4 linked regions of the Arabidopsis thaliana genome follow. The protein of the gene in region 4 interacts with the protein of the main gene of each other region in a pairwise test. Each region holds a gene or a part of one and is shown on either strand. Other genes may lie near its edges.

What was found.
Region 1: the proteins of PTR2 (region 4) and NHX3 interact in a protein complementation assay, tested with the Arabidopsis thaliana proteins (one large-scale study listed by BioGRID).
Region 2: the proteins of PTR2 (region 4) and SUC1 interact in a protein complementation assay, tested with the Arabidopsis thaliana proteins (one large-scale study listed by BioGRID).
Region 3: the proteins of PTR2 (region 4) and AT1G80510 interact in a protein complementation assay, tested with the Arabidopsis thaliana proteins (one large-scale study listed by BioGRID).

The regions. Positions count from the first base shown.
Region 1 is NC_003076.8:22,468,733-22,474,517, reverse strand, and holds NHX3 (Na+/H+ (sodium hydrogen) exchanger 3), read left to right. Parts: upstream 1-1,811; 5' UTR 1,812-1,932; coding exon 1,933-2,097; intron 2,098-2,207; coding exon 2,208-2,326; intron 2,327-2,423; coding exon 2,424-2,521; intron 2,522-2,629; coding exon 2,630-2,689; intron 2,690-2,787; coding exon 2,788-2,834; intron 2,835-2,915; coding exon 2,916-3,110; intron 3,111-3,190; coding exon 3,191-3,237; intron 3,238-3,342; coding exon 3,343-3,409; intron 3,410-3,505; coding exon 3,506-3,606; intron 3,607-3,690; coding exon 3,691-3,792; intron 3,793-4,054; coding exon 4,055-4,199; intron 4,200-4,314; coding exon 4,315-4,377; intron 4,378-4,488; coding exon 4,489-4,572; intron 4,573-4,668; coding exon 4,669-4,965; intron 4,966-5,123; 3' UTR 5,124-5,273; downstream 5,274-5,785. Other genes in the region: SVL1 (SHV3-like 1), read right to left, coding at 103-241; AT5G55460 (Bifunctional inhibitor/lipid-transfer protein/seed storage 2S albumin superfamily protein), read right to left, coding at 5,385-5,398, 5,505-5,785. UniProt on the Arabidopsis thaliana protein: May act in low affinity electroneutral exchange of protons for cations such as Na(+) or K(+) across membranes. May also exchange Li(+) and Cs(+) with a lower affinity.
Region 2 is NC_003070.9:27,052,397-27,056,968, reverse strand, and holds SUC1 (sucrose-proton symporter 1), read right to left. Parts: upstream 2,940-4,572; 5' UTR 2,636-2,939; coding exon 1,376-2,635; intron 1,290-1,375; coding exon 1,226-1,289; intron 1,087-1,225; coding exon 869-1,086; 3' UTR 505-868; downstream 1-504. UniProt on the Arabidopsis thaliana protein: Responsible for the transport of sucrose into the cell, with the concomitant uptake of protons (symport system). This transport is both voltage- and energy-dependent.
Region 3 is NC_003070.9:30,271,092-30,275,393, forward strand, and holds AT1G80510 (Transmembrane amino acid transporter family protein), read left to right. Parts: upstream 1-1,757; 5' UTR 1,758-2,008; coding exon 2,009-3,478; 3' UTR 3,479-3,800; downstream 3,801-4,302. Other genes in the region: AT1G80500 (SNARE-like superfamily protein), read left to right, coding at 104-184, 716-801, 873-934, 1,078-1,163, 1,248-1,340.
Region 4 is NC_003071.7:485,607-490,490, reverse strand, and holds PTR2 (peptide transporter 2), read right to left. Parts: upstream 3,094-4,884; 5' UTR 2,950-3,093; coding exon 2,893-2,949; intron 2,638-2,892; coding exon 2,320-2,637; intron 2,242-2,319; coding exon 1,685-2,241; intron 1,610-1,684; coding exon 784-1,609; 3' UTR 550-783; downstream 1-549. Other genes in the region: AT2G02050 (NADH-ubiquinone oxidoreductase B18 subunit), read right to left, coding at 156-467. UniProt on the Arabidopsis thaliana protein: Peptide transporter. Mediates the transport of di- and tripeptides. High affinity, low capacity transporter. Can also transport histidine.

The sequences.
Region 1 (5,785 bases), on a different chromosome or scaffold from region 4:
TCTATGAAACGATTCAAAAGGAAGCAACTTTTCTACTGATTTATTGATTAACAGTGAAGGGTATTGAATAAATAGGAGAAGAAGGAGATAGAAGACACTAACCAGTGAGTGTTTGCCATGGACTTTTAGATCTTTGAGCAAAGAGTTGAGTAGACAGCAACTGGATCAAAATAAGAGCTAAAAATAGAAACTTTGAAGCTTGTAAGACATGCATTGTTGGATTATCTCGCATGTTTATCATCTGTAACAACCTGAGTTGTCCCGGCGGCGACTTCACCAACTTCGACCAAAAACTGAGATTTACTCAGAGAGAGAGAGAGAGAGAGAGAGAGAGAGAGCTTTTTGGTTTGTGGGATTCGAATTTATATGATCGTTGATTATTTTAAAAGGGAAAACAAAAGAACTTCGACTTTTTGTTTTTGACACATTTTTCCACTTTAAAAAGAAAACATCAACTAAAATTTTATTTTTTTGGTTTTTCATAAATAAACTAAAATGTTTTTCAATGTGTCTCCATATCTTTATTGCAGACAGAAAATATTGGGAGTGTAATTTTGACTCAATTTTTTTTTGAGAATACAAGAGTTTAATTTTCATGGGATAACTAAATAAGTTTTATTTTAAATTAGAATATAATTTTTTGATTGGTTGTCTCCAACCTAGAGAAACCAAACAATTGTTTTACATATATTTGTGTATTTATTTTTTATAGTTATGCGTTCTTCATTTATTACGACCTACTCTCTCTTTGTTTTTCTTTATTACTACCTACTTGTTTCCAAAACCAGCTAAACTATAAGCAAGCATAATAATAAACTATATAATGCATGCAATTGCAATATACATGTGTCAATCATTGGTCTTGTTATAATTAGGATTAGTGTAGAAACGGCTATTAGATATCAATTATATCCCTGCAATTTCTCCCTTAATCACTCCTATAGTAATTGGTGTATATCTGTTTTCCTCTACGGTACCAACAAATAAAAAGTCTACTGCGGGGAACGTATTTGTTTTTCTTGTTTCCTCTTCTCTTCTCTGTATATAAGAAAAATTGTATCATTCTAGTGATACTACCCATTACCCAATACGCATTCCAATAATGGCTACATTTACATATATGATATATGCATATACATATCACATATGAGCAGATTTATTATTTATCTAATATACACATTATATATCCGAATTCTATGTTTTCACGTTAATTATAATATTTACAAGTTTCTTAATTTATATTATAGCTATAATGATACTAGTATCTTAAAAAATGTTGAGAAGGCGGTGGTGGATGATCGATTAAAAGTCAGGTAGGTCCTAGAACATGGTCGTTAAAGATTACACGTGGTGAAATAGGTCGCTGAGTCACTTTTTACGTCATCAAAACACGACCAAACGAAACGATCACGTTCTAGCGTCTTGGCTGTTGCAACCGGGACCGTTACTCAGTAGAGTGTTTTATTTCGATTGGTTCGAGTCTTCACCAAATAATTCGTTGTAATAAATATTGAGTTTTCAAGTTTCATAATTTTATATAAACAGAATAAAGAACAAGAGGTAAAAATAAATTAAGGAAAAAGAACAACAATTTACGCGAGTTAGTTAGACCCAAAAAAGAAAAAAGAAAAAAATCCCCAAATCCGGTAAGAAAAAAATACATGATGAGTTAGTTTTGGGCCCTAAAAAGGCCCAAGATGCAGTACAATTCCAAAAAGCCTCACGTTTACTCAGTCTGATGACGTTGGAAACATGCCACGTGTCTTTCGTCTCCTCGCCACCTGTAACCACCGCCTTGTTCATCGCAGTTCAAATCTCTCCTCACTCTCTGACTCTTTCCTCGTCTCTCTCTCTATCGTTCTCTGTGTGCCTTCTTCGTTTGCGATTGGTGTTTTCAAAATCGACGAAATCGAAAACATTATCGAGTGAAAAATGAGTATCGGATTAACAGAGTTTGTGACGAATAAACTAGCAGCTGAGCATCCTCAGGTGATACCAATCTCAGTGTTCATCGCCATTCTCTGTCTATGTTTAGTTATCGGCCACTTGCTTGAAGAGAATCGATGGGTTAATGAATCTATTACCGCCATTTTAGTAGTAATTTTCTTCAAAATTTCTTCTTTTTTTTGTTTTAGCTAAAGTTTTGAGCTTTTCTGCTCTTAAAGAACAATTTTATCACTATTTTTGATTGGTTTTGTTGCAAGTAGGGAGCAGCATCAGGAACAGTGATCTTACTTATTAGTAAAGGAAAAAGTTCACATATTTTGGTGTTTGATGAAGAACTCTTCTTCATTTACCTTCTTCCTCCAATAATCTTCAATGCTGGGTAAGCTTACTATGGTTTTGGTTACTATGTTGTGGTTAATGGGTTAGATTACACTATGATGGTGATTGACTGAAGATTTTTTGGTTTGTTGTGGCAGGTTCCAAGTTAAGAAAAAGAAGTTTTTTCACAACTTTTTAACCATCATGTCCTTTGGTGTGATTGGAGTTTTCATCTCCACTGTCATTATCTCGTTTGGTAAAAAATATTTCATTAATCTTTGAATGACTTGACTATATGATTTAAAGTTGATTATCTCGGAGTTGTTACCATCTCTATTTTTGTTGTTTTTATAATGTGAACCAGGGACTTGGTGGCTGTTTCCCAAGTTGGGATTTAAGGGGTTGAGTGCTAGAGACTATCTTGGTAAGATTTTTCACTGATCTATGTTTCTTTTCATTTCTTGTTGAGATGGTTATTACTTATCAGTTTGCGAGAGTGAATGCTTTCTTGTTTTGATTCAGCCATAGGAACGATTTTCTCATCAACTGATACTGTTTGCACTCTACAGGTTCTTGATTTAGAAGATTCTTTGTCTTACTACTTCTTCTATTAAAAGTTTTTTCTTACATTGCATCTTAAACTTTTACAGATTCTCCATCAAGATGAAACACCATTGCTATACAGCTTAGTCTTTGGAGAAGGAGTGGTGAATGATGCAACCTCAGTTGTACTGTTCAACGCCGTGCAAAAGATTCAATTTGAAAGCCTAACCGGTTGGACGGCGCTGCAAGTATTTGGGAACTTTTTGTACCTCTTCTCAACAAGCACACTTCTCGGAATTGGTGTAAGCTATTGAGTTGGCATAGTTTTTTACTCTGTTTGAAGCATATCATGAGTAATCTTAGAACTGTGAATGTCTTGCAGGTGGGGCTAATAACATCTTTTGTTCTTAAAACCTTGTATTTTGGAAGGTAAAAGTACACCAAACTTGCAAATTTTTCATCTCAAGCTTAAGTTTTTTTTTTTTAGTGATAAGATGTGCCTTTATATTGATCTTGTTATATGGTTGCTGACAGACATTCTACTACACGCGAACTCGCCATCATGGTTCTAATGGCTTACCTTTCATATATGTTGGCTGAGGTAATACACTGGTCATGAACGCTACTTTTTAGTTTTCATTTGGAATTGAAGTGCTGCATTTCTCTGTTTTAACTCAATATAGTTGTTCTCTTGCAGCTCTTCTCATTAAGTGGAATTCTTACTGTTTTCTTCTGTGGTGTTTTAATGTCGCATTATGCATCATATAACGTGACAGAGAGCTCAAGAATCACTTCCAGGCAATGTATCAGACAATTGTTTATTCGCTGAAGTCTCAATTTGCAGGAATTGCTTTTGTCTGACTGTGCATCTATATTTTGCAGGCATGTATTTGCAATGTTGTCCTTTATTGCGGAGACATTCATATTTCTGTATGTTGGAACAGATGCTCTTGATTTTACAAAGTGGAAGACAAGCAGCTTAAGGTATAAAGTCGTATCCATTTATCAGCTGGTAGAGCGTTTAGAGTGTTTTGTCAAAACAATACACAGCATTTTGATATGAACCTCGTGTATTTCTTAAATGCATACCTAGAATCAAGATTATCCCAAAGACATCCTCTATGTCTTCTTCTCTCTTGACACGAAGTTAATCGCCAATTAACTGTTAGTTAAGCTGTGGTGGTGACTCGTTGTTTCTGAAATCTCTTCCCAATGAAGACTTGTAACATTAATCATCTTCTTGCAGCTTTGGGGGTACTCTGGGTGTCTCCGGTGTCATAACCGCATTAGTATTGCTTGGACGAGCAGCATTTGTCTTTCCACTCTCGGTCTTAACAAATTTCATGAACAGGCACACTGAAAGAAACGAGTCTATCACATTTAAGCATCAGGTTTAGCTCTTGTTTGTTACAGTTACATTATCAGAAGCACTAAAATAAAAAATTAATAATGGTCCGAGAATGGGAAAGTTTCTGTTATATAATTCTCTCTTTGTATACTTTATAGGTGATCATTTGGTGGGCAGGTCTAATGCGAGGTGCTGTCTCAATTGCTCTGGCTTTCAAGCAGGTTTTTCTCTTTGCACATTCATATTATCTCTAATCTCTATTGTATTACTTTTACATTGAATTAGTAACATTTCCATTATATCTCATTTTGGTATATCTTTCATGTGCCAAGTTCACATACTCCGGTGTTACATTGGATCCTGTGAATGCTGCCATGGTCACCAACACCACTATCGTTGTTCTCTTTACTACACTGGTAAAACAAATACTACCTTAGTATATGGCCCTACTGGTTCTGGTAGTTTTCTGTGTTAAGATCAAAAGAATGACTTCTTTGTCATGTAACAAACAGGTCTTTGGTTTCCTCACAAAACCACTTGTGAATTATCTCCTTCCTCAAGATGCAAGTCACAACACCGGAAATAGAGGTAAACGCACTGAGCCAGGTTCTCCGAAAGAAGATGCGACACTTCCTCTTCTTTCCTTTGACGAGTCTGCTTCCACCAACTTCAATAGAGCTAAAGATAGTATTTCCCTTCTGATGGAACAACCTGTGTACACCATCCACCGCTACTGGAGAAAGTTTGACGACACATACATGAGGCCTATCTTCGGTGGACCTCGTCGAGAAAACCAACCAGAATGCTAGGTATACCCTCCATTATTACCACACAAATTTATACATTTTGCAGCAAACGCACCTCACTTGATCAATAATGTGTAACCGGAATTAATAAGTACATCCGGGAAGAGGTGCCTACAATATTCATCATGATAAGCGAACAATTCTCTCTTTTTGTGTTGCAGAATTGATCCGGGTTCTCCGCGGGGAAATCATGATGAGTTAGTTTTTTTTATAGTCAAGAAAGTAGGATAGTTGGTTTAGCTAAAACAGTTTCTTAAAGTTTTTGTTAAATGTATACAACAAGGTTCTTCTATATACACAAGCTGCGATTATTACTGCGAGTTTGTAATTTATTTGGATCGGAACATAAGACATATTGTAAGACTTCAGATCAGTTGCAGGACAAGTTCGAGTGAAGTCTGCTAGAACGGTCTGTCTCCATCTCAGTTCCTCAAAGCTGCACTTACAGAACAGCAAAACGTAAGCCTTTTTTACTTCATACTTCATATTGGGATCCTACTAGTCTACCGGTTTTTAGTATCTTAATGGTATTTTGATTTTACCTTGGCAAGCAGGAGGGATTGTTGTCAGGCCACATTTGCTCAGAAGAGCCTGGACTTTAGATGGGTAAACCGCTAAAACGGGGAGAACAGACTTGAATCTGCAGATGCATTTCAGATTAGCGGCTTGGAGGAGTTCACAACACTCTTTGATTGGAGATGGCGGGTTGTCTCCAATTACGGCTGGACGACATTTTTCCAGATGGTTTGCGTTGATGTTACATGCGGTAATGCTCGTAGGTTCTTCCATCAACACCAAGGCGGCTAAAACTATTGCAAGAGCT
Region 2 (4,572 bases), on a different chromosome or scaffold from region 4:
TTCTTATATTTTAGGCAAATATTCTAAAAATTGGTGGAAAAAACTTATATATAGATATGTAAAATGTTGTATCGCCACTGAGGGTTCAAGCCCGCATATTGTTGACCAAAACAATCTTTCATTTTGTAATATAAAAAATGATATACTTATAAATGATATTGTATGATCTTCAAAAACATTGGTTGTTGCCTAGTATAAATCATCAAGTTGTTAAGTGTCATACTGTGCTAAGAAACATACTGTATAGTTTATATTATAATACAGTGTGTTTATAGAATACAAAAATGTCATATTGATTGGACTAGTTGTTTGCAAGAATATTTAAGGTTTCTTATTTAATATTTAATATTTTAATATCTTCTAGGTTTATATTTTATGTACTTACATGAGAATTGTTTTAATATTTATTAATAAGTATTTTTAAAATTATTAATCATATTAATTAATTTAACTGGTATTATTAATGGTTATTTATCGCCTAAACCGTTCTAAACTACATAAATTGTTCAACTTGTTCCCTATATATAAAAGAATTGCCATACATTATTATCAAAATTTTCTTTTCTGAGGGTAGAGGGAATTACTTTCTAGTTGGATATTTGTTCTACCGAAGCAAACAGTAAACAATTGTACTCAACACACAAATCTTATTTAAGGGCAAAAAAAAAAAACATTCTATTTCAAATTAAAATAAGTGACAAAAGTTATAAAAAAAGAAGAAAAAAAACTAAAAAAGGGTGAAATACAGACGACCCAAGGTTTATTAGATTTTATCATTTTATCCATTCTTTTCTTTTATTTGGGTTTTTGCAGTTTCGCACAGTAATACTGTATTTGATGAGTTTCATTAAAAAAAAAAAATAGTAAACTAGTGGAATCCTCCCATGGTCGTTGCCTTGGGTGCGTCCGGTGGTGGTGAAGGTAAAACGGTTAACGCTAATACTCCACTAATCGCCGCTGCAATTGCTGCAACGATAAACGCCGGTAAGTTTCCACCGCCGAACAAGGCGTCGAAAGGTCCACCTCCTAGTGAGACTATCATTTGTGGTATCACAATCGCCAAATTTAAAACTCCTAATGAAAGTCCTGTAAATCAAAACATCACAAAAACAATTTAAATACCTATGTTATAATTGCATAAGGTGGATGAAACCAAAATATAATAGTTACGGTCCCACATATTTGTAACTTTAGTAACTTTAATATTAAAGATGTATATATTTACCTTGGCCTGCACCGGAGCAGCTTGAGAATATGGATGCTAGAGCAAAAGGAGTACTGAAAGTAATCTGTAAATAATAAAAAACGAATCGATTAATGTTAGTTTAAGCAAAGCAAAAAGTTTTTTAACAAGACAACACAAAAGTGTACTTACAGCTAATGGGATACCAAGAACAGCAAAGAGACTTAAAGCTCCAGCTTTAACACTAGCGCTCGGTCCGGCTAAATCACCGGCGGTTTTCCGGTGATCCTCGGCGAATTTCGTAACGAGAACCGTCATGGCCAAACCAGCGGCTAGGATGAAATTGACAATACCCCAAAGCCGTTTAGCTCCTCCTAATTTCCGACCAATCCATTCAACACCAAGTGACATGAAACCAAGAACTATAGAGTTAAACATCAATCCCATTGCACCAGATTGGACTCCAAGACTGTATAGTTTCTTCGATCGTTCATTTCCATCTGAATCTCCACCGAACACTTCACGACCCATCCAATCAGTATCGAACAAAAGAAATGGGAACCAAGCGATCCAGTTTAAGGCCGTGACGATTAGAAGCATCCACATGGGACGTTTCATGACTTTGAATGCTCCAAAGATTTCACCGAACAAAGGAACGCTTGAGGTCTTCTCGTCGTCGTCGGCATTTCGCGGCGGCGGAGACCATTGTTTGTCATTAACGTACCAAAGAGACGTGACGGTGACGATGAGGAGGAGAGTGATGGATAAGAAGAAACAAGTCTTGAGATTGGCGCAATAGATATCGCAAGCTTTTGTCATTGTGAACGGAAACATCTTGTGGAGGTTAGTGTACGAACCAGCCGCATAACCCAAAACGTTTCCAACCGCCATAAAAAAAGAGAAAAACGCGTTTGCGACTCGCGTTCTCTTAGCGTCACCGGCGGCTAAGTCGGCTAAGAAAGCACGGCAAGGTCCTTGTAAGGTGTTGTTGGCTACGTCGAGGATCCAGAACCCGAGAGCAAAGATCCCTATAGCTCGAACTTTAACCTTCTCCTCGAGTTTATCTCCCATTTTATAACCGAAATCCGCAGCGTAACCGATGAGGAAAACAGCGACGGCGACGAGTGCGGCTCCGGTGGCGATGAAAGGACGACGGCGACCAAATTTGGACCTACATCGGTCACTGTGGAAACCGACGATTGGTTGAACAATCATGCCGGAGACTGGACCACAGAGCCAAATGAGAGATGACCATTTGTGAGGGATTCCGAGGAGTTGAACGTACGGAGTAAGAAGAGAGAGCTGTAAGGCCCACCCGAACTGTACACCGGCGGCGATGGAAGCGACGGAGATGATTTTACGAAGCGGAGATGGTTGATCGAAATCTTCCGGCGACTGTGTCTCTAGAGCCGCCGCATCTTTAGTTGGTTTTTCTGTTTCATAGGCTCCCATTATCAGGAAGTAAAAAAAAAAACACGAATAGACAAAATAGAAACTTTAGAGGAAAAAAAAGAAAAGAAAATTTGTTTATTTTTCTTTTTCTTTTTTTTTTTGTTTTTTTCTGTCTTCTGTTTTTTTTTTTTAAGTGAGGTTTTTGTTTTGTGATGTAGGAGATGAGAGAATGGAGTTGTATTTATAGGCGAGGAAGAAGAAGAAATGAGAGTTTTATTTTGATTTTCTTATTACACTTGGAGATGATTATTTTTCGGATAAGAGACAGAGTTAGAAATTTTAATTGTGTGAGTGTATGGCAAGGTAGGGACACGTGTCAGTTAGAACATTAACTCTCCTGTTCTTTTGTGTTCTGTTTTTACGGGAATTTAATTGGTTTCGCTTTTTTCTTGCATCAAGTGACTTGGACGTTGATTCAATTTCTCTCTCACAGTTTTTTTTTAATAAAAAAAGTTCCGATATTCAGTACCGTTTTGTTTGGGTAAACAATAAAGTTTCTATGATTCCGATTGGGTAGACAAATTTAAACAGTGTGTATATTTATATGTACTATATCACATAAGTCACATCTGATTATCGGAGAACAATTATTTTGTTTGGTTTAAAATAAATAATTGTGAATTGTCCAAATCCCTAATTTATATGGTACTAAAAGAATGAAATATCTAGAAGATACTAAGAAATGTCTTTGATTTAAGATGGAAAAACGACTTATATGCACCCTCTATACTTAAAACTCACTAGTTCATAGCACCTAATGAGATAGATGGTTCAGGGCAACATATACACTATTCTTTTTCGGACAGTGAAGTTATATTCACGATCACCTACCATAATTAATTGGCTTATCTAGCGTAATAATAGTTGTAGATCAAATCATAACATATCCGGCTCCAATTACGGTCATGGATCAAGCATCGCCAAATATTCTCTGATCATGGATTATATTTCCGCAATATTCATAGTCTGGAGATTATCACAAAAAGATCCGAGTGGCCAAACACTTTCCAAAACTAATGCACACACATTCTTATCCGAACAGTCCCAAAGATGGTATGCTATCTTTCACGTCCATATATTTTAGAACCAAATGTTATCCTTGACGTCCAAGTCTTTCGACCCAACATCAGCTTTGTAAACATTAAATTAATTTTATCATTTTTGCATTGATCACAAACTACTGAAAAATCACTTAGTTTGTATGGTGAGTTTTTTTTTCGACGAAAAGATAGTATATTTTGGCAATGTTGTTAACTAGTGATGGACTGAAGGATATCAAATTTAATTTTTTAAAAAAAAAAACATTGTGACAACAAAATAACAAATATAGAAGCATTCAATTATATATATATATATATATAAAGGGAAAATAATCAGTATTTGTCCGCCACTAATTAGTTGTTAAATTGCCTAAAATCCAATATATATATTAAAGTTTACATATTAATTAGTTTCTGTCAAATATCCAAAATTAAGCGAATTGTGTAACGGAGTTATGTGACAGAAACTTTAACCCTAAAATTTGCTTCTTGTAATGCAAGATACGATCGCAACTCAAAACTCATTTCCCATTTATTTTGGATTGTTTATCCGACCAATTAAGCATTTTAATTTTAGTCACTACATTTTTGTCTTCGAGCTGAATAGTACTCTATATACATTTTCTCCAGTTTTCAACGGGCAGACGACTTGAAAATATATTAAAATAACCAAAGCATTTACTAGTATAACTCTTGGATTTTAGTTGTCTGTGAATTAGTCTCAAATGGCTCACATGTTTGTCAACTCCTTACGTTGTCTTTCTACTCCTCAAGTCTCAACTACTTGGACGTATGTTCCATTTGTTGTTAATTTTCACTGTAGTTTCAATTATCTCTCTATTCGCTTATTTTAACTATATGAATAGGTTGTGCAAACAATTTATTTTACCCGTCTAT
Region 3 (4,302 bases), on a different chromosome or scaffold from region 4:
ATTATTAAAGAATAGAAGAAAAATGTTGAAATCTGGGGTTTGATTTTGGTATTTCAGGAGACACAAGATCTAGGATTTCCTTTATTTAGAGACGAGGGATTCTATGGCTAACACTGCCTGCTTTATCATTGTGGGCCGGAATGATATTCCCATCTATGAAGCTGAAGTTGGATCTGCTGCTAAAGTACATTTCTTTCTCCACTTTCTCTATTTGTATGAATCTGAGTCATTGAAGTTTATAGTACATGTTCCTGCAGTTTTGCTCCGTTCTGGCTCCAGCTCTTTCTTTTTGACTTAGTTTCATGGTCATAGTATAGCTCTCTAGATTTAACCCACGGGAGAGGTGCAAAGTTCATTTATTAATTGTCACCGTTGTTTATTTGGCTAGTGATATGAAAAGGGTTGCTATATCCATTGTTTAAATTATTTTTGGTCGAGGAACGTTTCAACCTGTTTTACATAACCAAGCAAGCAGGCCTTGTTCTTACTAGATAATTCTAATAATATAGTTCTATAAGATCTTCTATTGCTTATTGCATGACTCATTGGTTTCTGGTCTATCACATAGTTATTTATCCTTTCTTACTGACGGAAGTTTTCCTGTTTTTGTCTTGATCTTTTCATCTAGCTGGTAGATATATGTTTCAACCAATTGGTATGTGGTCTAGTCGATAAGTGCACATCAGTCTCTTACACCATTCTCTCTATTTGGCAGAGAGAAGATGCTGCACAGTTGCACCAATTTATATTACATGCAGCGTTAGATGTTGTCCAAGACCTAGCATGGACTACAAGTGCCATGTAAGTAAAGTCTCTTGTGAAAATATATTATCATTTTAAAGGATCCATCTCATTGTCATACAAGTCTTCAGGTTCTTGAAGTCAGTGGACAGGTTTAACGATCTGGTTGTGTCAGTATATGTTACCGCAGGCCATATCCTTTTTCGTTAGACCCTTTGAGATTTAAGTGCAAATAAAAATTTGATGTAAAAAGTGTCAGGCTGGTATATTGGCTTTTGTGCATAACAGATTCTTATGCAGTTGTAAATATCTGTTTCTTCCTTAATTTATCAACACATACCCGACTGATGCTCCTTCATGATTCACGGAATGAGGACGGCATCAAGAGCTTCTTTCAAGAGGTGCATGAGCTTTATATAAAGGTAAATTTTCTTGATGAAATGAATTCGCAGTTGTTTGTTCTGTCCTGATTTTGTTGATGGAAACCAAATGATTTGTTCATGCAGATTCTTCTGAATCCCTTGTATCTTCCTGGTTCTCGGATAACGTCGTCACATTTTGACACCAAAGTACGTGCACTTGCAAGAAAGTACCTGTAGAGAAGACGGAGATTCTGTTTGCATTTGGTGATCAAATTTTTCTTGTACCCATATCGCATAGTTCCCAAGTCAATTGTTTCTGTTTTCTTTTTGAGTGCCTGGATTTCTGTTATTTCTAACTTGCAAGCAACATTTTAATAAGAATGGGATTCCTTGTTTAGTATGAGTAATGAATGATCCATTCAATCCAAAATAATTTCATCTTTGGTTGTTATTATAAAGTCTCTCTTTTCCTCAGAATCTATTGGAAAACAAGCGTACATGTACGATGTATATCTTTCTGAAACATGACCAAACGCCTAACATAAGTTAATGTGACACTTTTAATTGCTAATCCGCAATTAATTAGGTACTTTATTGAAGTTTAAAAAGACGATTAATCAATTAATAAAGAGGCCACATGTGAAGTAAAAGCACCAATCGGAAGATAGAAGTTTCCCAAAACTTATCAAATCTCTGTGTATCGCTCGCCGACGAGGCAGGAAGGACGACCAATTGAGACGTTGACCCTTAATCCGATTTGAACAATCTCTCTCTCTCTCTCTCTCTCTCTCTCTTGGTCGAGATTCATAAAAGTCTCTTCTTTCGTCTTCTTCGATCTCGGATAATCACAAAGTTTATCTTCTTCTTTCTTTTTTAAAAATAAAATCAGAGAGCAGATCTTGCGAATGGATAGCAGTTACTCTGTCATTTCCAAAACTTCTTACGTTGAGTTACAGAAACCGACGGTTAATGGGAAACCCAGAAACAAGTTGCTTCCTTCTGATGAAGAAAGCTTCGTCAATGATTTTGACGATGCCCGTAATGGTGTTGGGGGTGAAGATGCTGATGATCTCGATTTCGATGTCGCTGATTACCCACTCGTTCATGGCAAATCATCCAATCAAGGATCTGGGATTTACGGTGCTGTTTTCAATCTCACCACTTCTATTATCGGCGCCGGGATCATGGCATTGCCCGCCACCATGAAAGTTCTCGGCTTGGTTCTAGGGTTTGTTTTGATTATCCTCATGGCTCTTTTGTCTGAGATTAGTGTTGAGCTTCTGGTTAGATTTTCTGTTCTTTACAAGTCCAAATCCTACGGCGAGGTTGTTCAATTCGCTTTGGGGAAAACCGCTAGGGTTTTGTCTGAGATTTGTATCATTGTCAACAATGGTGGCGTTCTCGTTGTTTACTTGATTATTATGGGCGATGTTATGTCTGGTTCTCTCCATCACATTGGGGTTTTGGATCAATGGTTAGGGAATGGGTTCTGGGATCACCGTAAAGTGTTGATTTTGATTGTTATGGTCATCTTCTTGGCTCCTCTCTGTGCTTTGAACAAGATTGATTCCTTGAGCGTTACATCAGCTGCTTCTGTTGCTCTTGCTGTTGTCTTTGTGGTTGTCTGTTTTGTTGTCGCCACCATCAAGCTTATCGAAGGAACTATCGACCCTCCAAGGTTGTCTCCTGACTTTGGTTCCAAACAAGCAATTTTGGACCTTCTTGTGGTCATTCCGATTATGTCAAACGCATACGTTTGTCACTTCAATGTTCAGCCGATATACAACGAGCTTGAAGGTCGATCACCTCATAAGATGAACCGAGTTGGGAGAATCACAACAGCCATTTGTGTTGTTGTCTACGCTTCAACTGCTGTATCGGGTTATCTCCTCTTCGGCAAGGACACCGAATCAGATATCTTGACCAACTTTGATCAAGATCTCGGTATCCGGTTCAGCTCTGCGGTGAATTACATTGTCAGAATCGGCTACATTCTTCATCTAGTTCTCGTCTTCCCTGTGATCCATTTCTCCTTGAGAGAAACCGTCAATACCTTACTGTTTGAAGGCTCGCCTCCTCTATCCGAAAGCAAAAAGAGATCTTTGGGACTCACTGTGGTCTTGCTGGCTCTTATTTACATTGGCTCAACGATGATACCAAACATATGGACTGCTTTCAAATTCACAGGCGCAACATCAGCTGTTTCACTTGGTTTTACATTCCCTGCTCTGATCGCATTGCGGTTAGGGAAACAGAGCAATTCGTTAAGCTTCGTGGAAAGATCAGTGTCATGGCTGATGCTAATCTTGGCCGTAGTGGTTAGCATTGTTGGAACCATTGGCAACATTTACAGCCTCGAGAGCAAATCAGATTGATACTTATAGCAGTTTTCCAGGATCTTGTAGATTTATATAGTCAGAGATTCTCAGTCCAATACCGAACCGGAAATCTTCAGCGACTGCTACATGCACCTTTAGGATGTCGATCAATGGCGTTTGTTCAGGCTAAGCCTAAAGATTTCCGGTTTGTGAATTATATGTATACAGACACCTGATTCTTATGATTTTATTATATATACGCATTTTTTTTCTGTTTTTCTTAACAGAAAATCTCCTCCTTTTTTTTCTGGCTGCGAATCATTCTTTTATGTGTTCATGGATCGTTTGTGGACTGATGTTAGTAGATGAATTTAGTTTGAAAAACCGAGTTGGTCTACTCTTAACCAGAATTAGGTACCTGAAATAACCAATGAATATATTAAGGTGGTTGTTAGAATCATTCGGACTGGTACTATTGAAATGAAAGCAAAGTAACGAAACTTAAGTTAGACTCAAAGGTTATCACTAAAGATCTCTAATACCCAACTTAAATACACCTCTGATCCGTGTGCCTTTAAAAAATGGTATAATTATATGTTGATCCAACGACTTTGCCTCGGATTTGTCTAAGCAAAACTTCTAATTCAGTTCTTACATGGTATACTAAAAAATAGATCATTATCAGTAGATGGCATACAATGTGGGCAAACCGAAACTAGAAGTGGAAGCTAGTGACTGGTAAGTGCATATGAACAATATCTTTTAAATTCCACATGCGCATGACCCGTGATCACCAATCGTGTCTTCCATTTGATCTATATTATTATTATTTTTATATGAACTATAAGCTTCTAAGTATATAAATATTAATTTATCGAATA
Region 4 (4,884 bases):
AATGAAACCCTAATTTGGAATTTGAAGAACACGAAGATCTGATCATGTAGCAGAAGAAACAAACCAATTCAATCAAATCAACCAAAACACAAGAAATCGAAAAACTATAGACTAACCGGAATCTGGAATCGGCAAATTGGAGAAGGAATCGAATCCTAAGCATTAGCAGTTTTAGGGATAAGAGGAACAGCAGCGTTTCCTTGTAGTTTATTCTGTTTAGCCAAAGCTTCTTCTTCACGGATCTTCTTCATCGCAAGCATTCTCTCCATAACAAGCTCGTATTCACACTTCTCATAAACGTGACGCTCGTCTTCACATTTCCATGGAAGGTAAAACTCAGCCTGACGACATTTGTTGAGCGGAATCAAGAGATGAGCGCACATATCTCTAGATCCAAGTGCTATTTTAGCTGCAGACATCTCTTCTTGCGTTGCGATCATCTTCTTCGATGAACCTGGAACCTCCATTTTCGCGATCCCCAAACCTCACAACGATACTCTCTTCTTCTTCTTCGATTTTATTGACCCGGAACATTCTTCTTCTCCGGGTCATATTTGTGCCCGTTTGATATGGGCCAAAAGCCCATTTGATTTACTAAGCCTATGGACAATTTCTCTCAATTTAGTATTCGAACCCTGAATTGTTTATAATATTGCAAATGCGACTTAAACTTTTGAAATTGAAAGGAAAAGTACACAGCAATGTTGTTATTGATACAGAGACAGTTACAGTTGAAAGAAACAAACTTTTGTATGTAATGAAAGTAGATAGATAACAGCATTACTACGACGAAGCTTTCTTTTGCTTATACCTAGCAGCAGAGAAGAAGTAAACCGCCATGTTCACAAGGCTAAGACCAGCCAAGAGCCAGAAGAAGTAATCGAGATGACCTGAATTGAGATTATCCGAAATCCAACCTTCTTGCCCATTTCTTGTTGTAAAATAAGTCACGAGCGTGAGGATCAACGAGCTCAAGTAGTTACCAAGTGCATTGGTCAAAAGAGCCAAGGCACTGCACAAGCTTCTCATTGCATCTGGAGATTGGTCGTAGAAGAACTCGAGCTGACCGATGAAGTAGAATACTTCGGCTGCACCGAGAATGAAGTACTGTGGAATCTGCCACAAGACGGATATGGGAACTGGGGCTCCTGACTCGACTAATCCAAGATCGTTGGCCATATGGAGACGGATGATTTCGACGATAGCTGCAGCTGCCATACAGAGAACAGAGACAAACAGACCAATTCCCATTCTTTGTATCTCAGTGAATCCTTTGTCTACTCCTGTGAACTTTCTTGCTAAGGGAACGATGAACCGGTCGTAGAGCGGCACCCAGATGATGACGCTTGCTGTGTCGAATGTCCCGAGTGCTGCAGGAGGAAGCTGGAATGATCCAATTTTGCAGTTCATGGCTCGGCCTTGTTGAACAAACATTGTGGACATTTGTGCGTATACAGCTGAGAAAATGATACCAGAAGCCCAGATTGGGAACATTCGGATCAGAATCTTGAGTTCTTCGACTTGCGTAACCGTGCATAGTCTCCACGAGTTGGAATAATCTCCGGATTTCGATTCTTCTTCTGAGATAACAGCGGCTTTGTCAAGATACCTGCATCATACCAGAATAACTTGTTAAACCAAGTAAAGCTATACATTACTGGAAAGCAATGAAGCGGATATTTACTGGCAATCATCGGTATGCTCGATTTTTCTACTTCCAGCAATAGCAGAGTTCTTGTCTTGAGTTTCATACAGAAGTGTGGCGTCTTCAGGGACTTTGACAGACGATTTCCGGAACGAAGCAACCACGACTTGGGAAATCCGAGTTATAGGGCTTCCTCCAGGTTTCTGAAACCTATAAAGAGGTGTGCCAAAGAAGAAACTTGCAATGGCTAGTCCCATGAACACTGTTGGTATCCCAAACCCTAAACCCCACCCGCGATTCTCTTGAATCCAAACTAGAAGACTAGATGACACAAGTGCTCCAATATTGATGGAGAAGTAAAACCAGTTAAAGAACGAAGCTTTTCTAACTCGTTCCCGAGAGTCCGTGTCATCAAACTGATCGGCACCGAAGGATGAGACACACGGTTTGATACCTCCAGTTCCAAGAGCGATCAGGTAAAGCCCACCAAAGAACATCGCATACTGAGCTGGCGTTGCAGATGGACAAAAGTCACCAATACATTCCGCTGGCTTCAATGCCGGAACTGAAGCTGAAAGAGTTAACGCAGACATCCCCTAAACAAATACAAAAACCTATCAGTAATCAGGAGCAAACAAACCAAACCAAACATTACACAGAGAAGCAATGCTTACGATGAAATAAATCCCGGAGAAACAAGCGATGGTCCAGTAACGTCCCCAGTAAGCATCAGCCAGAACAGCTCCAATGAGAGGAGTGAGATAACAAGTCCCTTGCCATGTGGTAACGTTTGTAGCAGCAGAAACATTTCCTTGGTGAAGCTTAGTGGTGAGGTAAGTGATTAAATTCCCAGCAATACCATAGTAAGCTAGCCTCTCACAACATTCATTACCAAGAATAAAAGGACAAGCTTTCCAGTTTCCTGTTTTCTCCTTCAATGGTGGGTTTCCATTAAAGTCCACTGAACCATCTTCAGCATACAATTTCACTTCCTACTTAAAACAAATTCACAAAACATTTTTGATTAGCTAACTAAACTATAACTGTATCAAAGCTCGAAACTTTGATCTATATCTACTTGCAAAATTCAAACATTGGAATCATCAATTAGATAAAACAGTGATTGCCCAGAAAAGATCTCAATAAACCCAGAAAGAAAATGCATAAGATCAATCTAAAGTCAAGATTTTGGAATTGAGTAAAATCAAAATTCGCTAACCTAAGTGATTAATTGAAATTGAACAAACCTGTAAAATTAAACCTTCTTCGATGAGAGGTCTTGCTTCTTCTTCGATGGAACCCATCGTTTTCGTTTTTTGAGCTGAACCAATTTAGATTCCTTACGTTGAAGCTACCTATCTAACGATACTCTATTATTTATCGGAGACGTGACGGCTTTTTATTTTACTTTTCCCGGCGACTTATTGGAAAATAAAAATCAAAACTTTGATTATAATAAGAGAAGTAATTAACAAAACTCATCTTTTTACGAATTTTTTGTTATTATTATGACGTAAAGATAGAATTGTGGATCAACCTGTTACCTGTCCATGTCTCAAGTTGTTGATATCACTCTAATCAAGAATTTTTTTTTTACATATATGTGTTTCTAAAACAATACATCATCAATACGTTGTTGATATCAGTAAATCGTTTGGGGACTCAGATAACAAACAGTAATTATCAGCCAATCTCTCTATAAACCCTGAAAGAACAAGAATGCTCAATAATATGTAGCTCAAGTCAGCAAAATTAGGAGAAATGGAAATTAAAACTCGATAACCTAGATCATTAATTGTACGTTGAAACTATATAAACTCTCCTATTATTTTTTGGTAAATGTGACAAATTTTTTATATTCCTTTTCCCGGCGAAATTTGTTTTTATTGGACTATAGACATCGGCTTTGTTTACATATTTTTCTAAGGTCTGTGCTTAAACTTCAAATGGGAATTATATATATATATATATATTTTCTTTGTGATTCACATAGAAATTAATTTGTGTTTTTATCACAAAATCATTTCATAACTATATGTGGCCAACTTTGATTGATTCCACAACTTGATTCATAGGGTGCATAGAGAATGTGGTACGACCATCTATAGATTCATCATCCATCATCTCTTGTAAGAACAAAATCATTTGTTTCTATATCAAATAAGGTGTTATAAAAACTAAAAAAAAAAAGATTCTCCACAACTTGAGTCCATAGAGAGTGTGGTACTACGACCATCTATAGATTCATCATCCATCATCCCTTGTAAAAACAAACTCTTTTGTTTTTATATAAGATAAGGTGTTATAAAAACTAAAAAAAAAAAATATTCTCCACAACCCAAGAGAAAATTCGGTAAAACAAACAGCTTTGAGAAAATGAAAAAGAACACAAATGTATGGTGCAAAGAAGAAACTAGTCTCAAGAGAGAAAATATTGATTTTATCTAATACTCTACAAAAACCCAAAACTCTTGAAAACATAACATAATTTTCTCAAATGTATTGTGCAAATAAGAAACTAGTAGAAAATAAATGATAAGATTGATTAGCTATTGACTAAAGAAAACCTTTAATTCTATACACAAATTTTTTCGAGAAAATAATTTACCTTTCGTTTAACGAAAGATTAGAATTTTTTTTTACATTTAGCGATACTTCGCTGGGATAGAAGAAGTGATGCTAGTATCTTATCCCATCTCTTAAGTCCGTAATTTTTTATCCCCTCGAGTAGAAGAACAAGTAGAAGATTATCTTCCTGCGATTTCATTCGTCGTATATTAAAAAGGGTATATAATTTTCTCGAAAAGTATTTGAGAAATATAAAAATAAGGTGTAGATGAATTGAAAGAGAGATGATAGATGGTTTAGGGCAAACAAGTGAAGTAGAGTCTAGATTATATAGGTTTGTGTAAGTATTTGTTTTTTACGTGAGAAATTATTTTAATGTGGGCTTTAATATTATTAGTAAGTAATGTGTGGCTTTATTCTTTTGCTCATTTGGATGATTAAATTAGGCAAAATTTTCAAACTCATTTGACTAAACATAATTGGACAATTTGAATGGAGATGGATTAGTCAAAATAACAAATGACAAATATGCTCTAATTCTTCAAACGATCATTTTGTTTATAAAATTTTATATAGAAAAACTAGATAATCACAGAAAAAAAAACAAAACAATCTGCCTATACGATTACAAAGTGTTAAGAATTTATATGCAATGAGTCGGAATCCTAAAC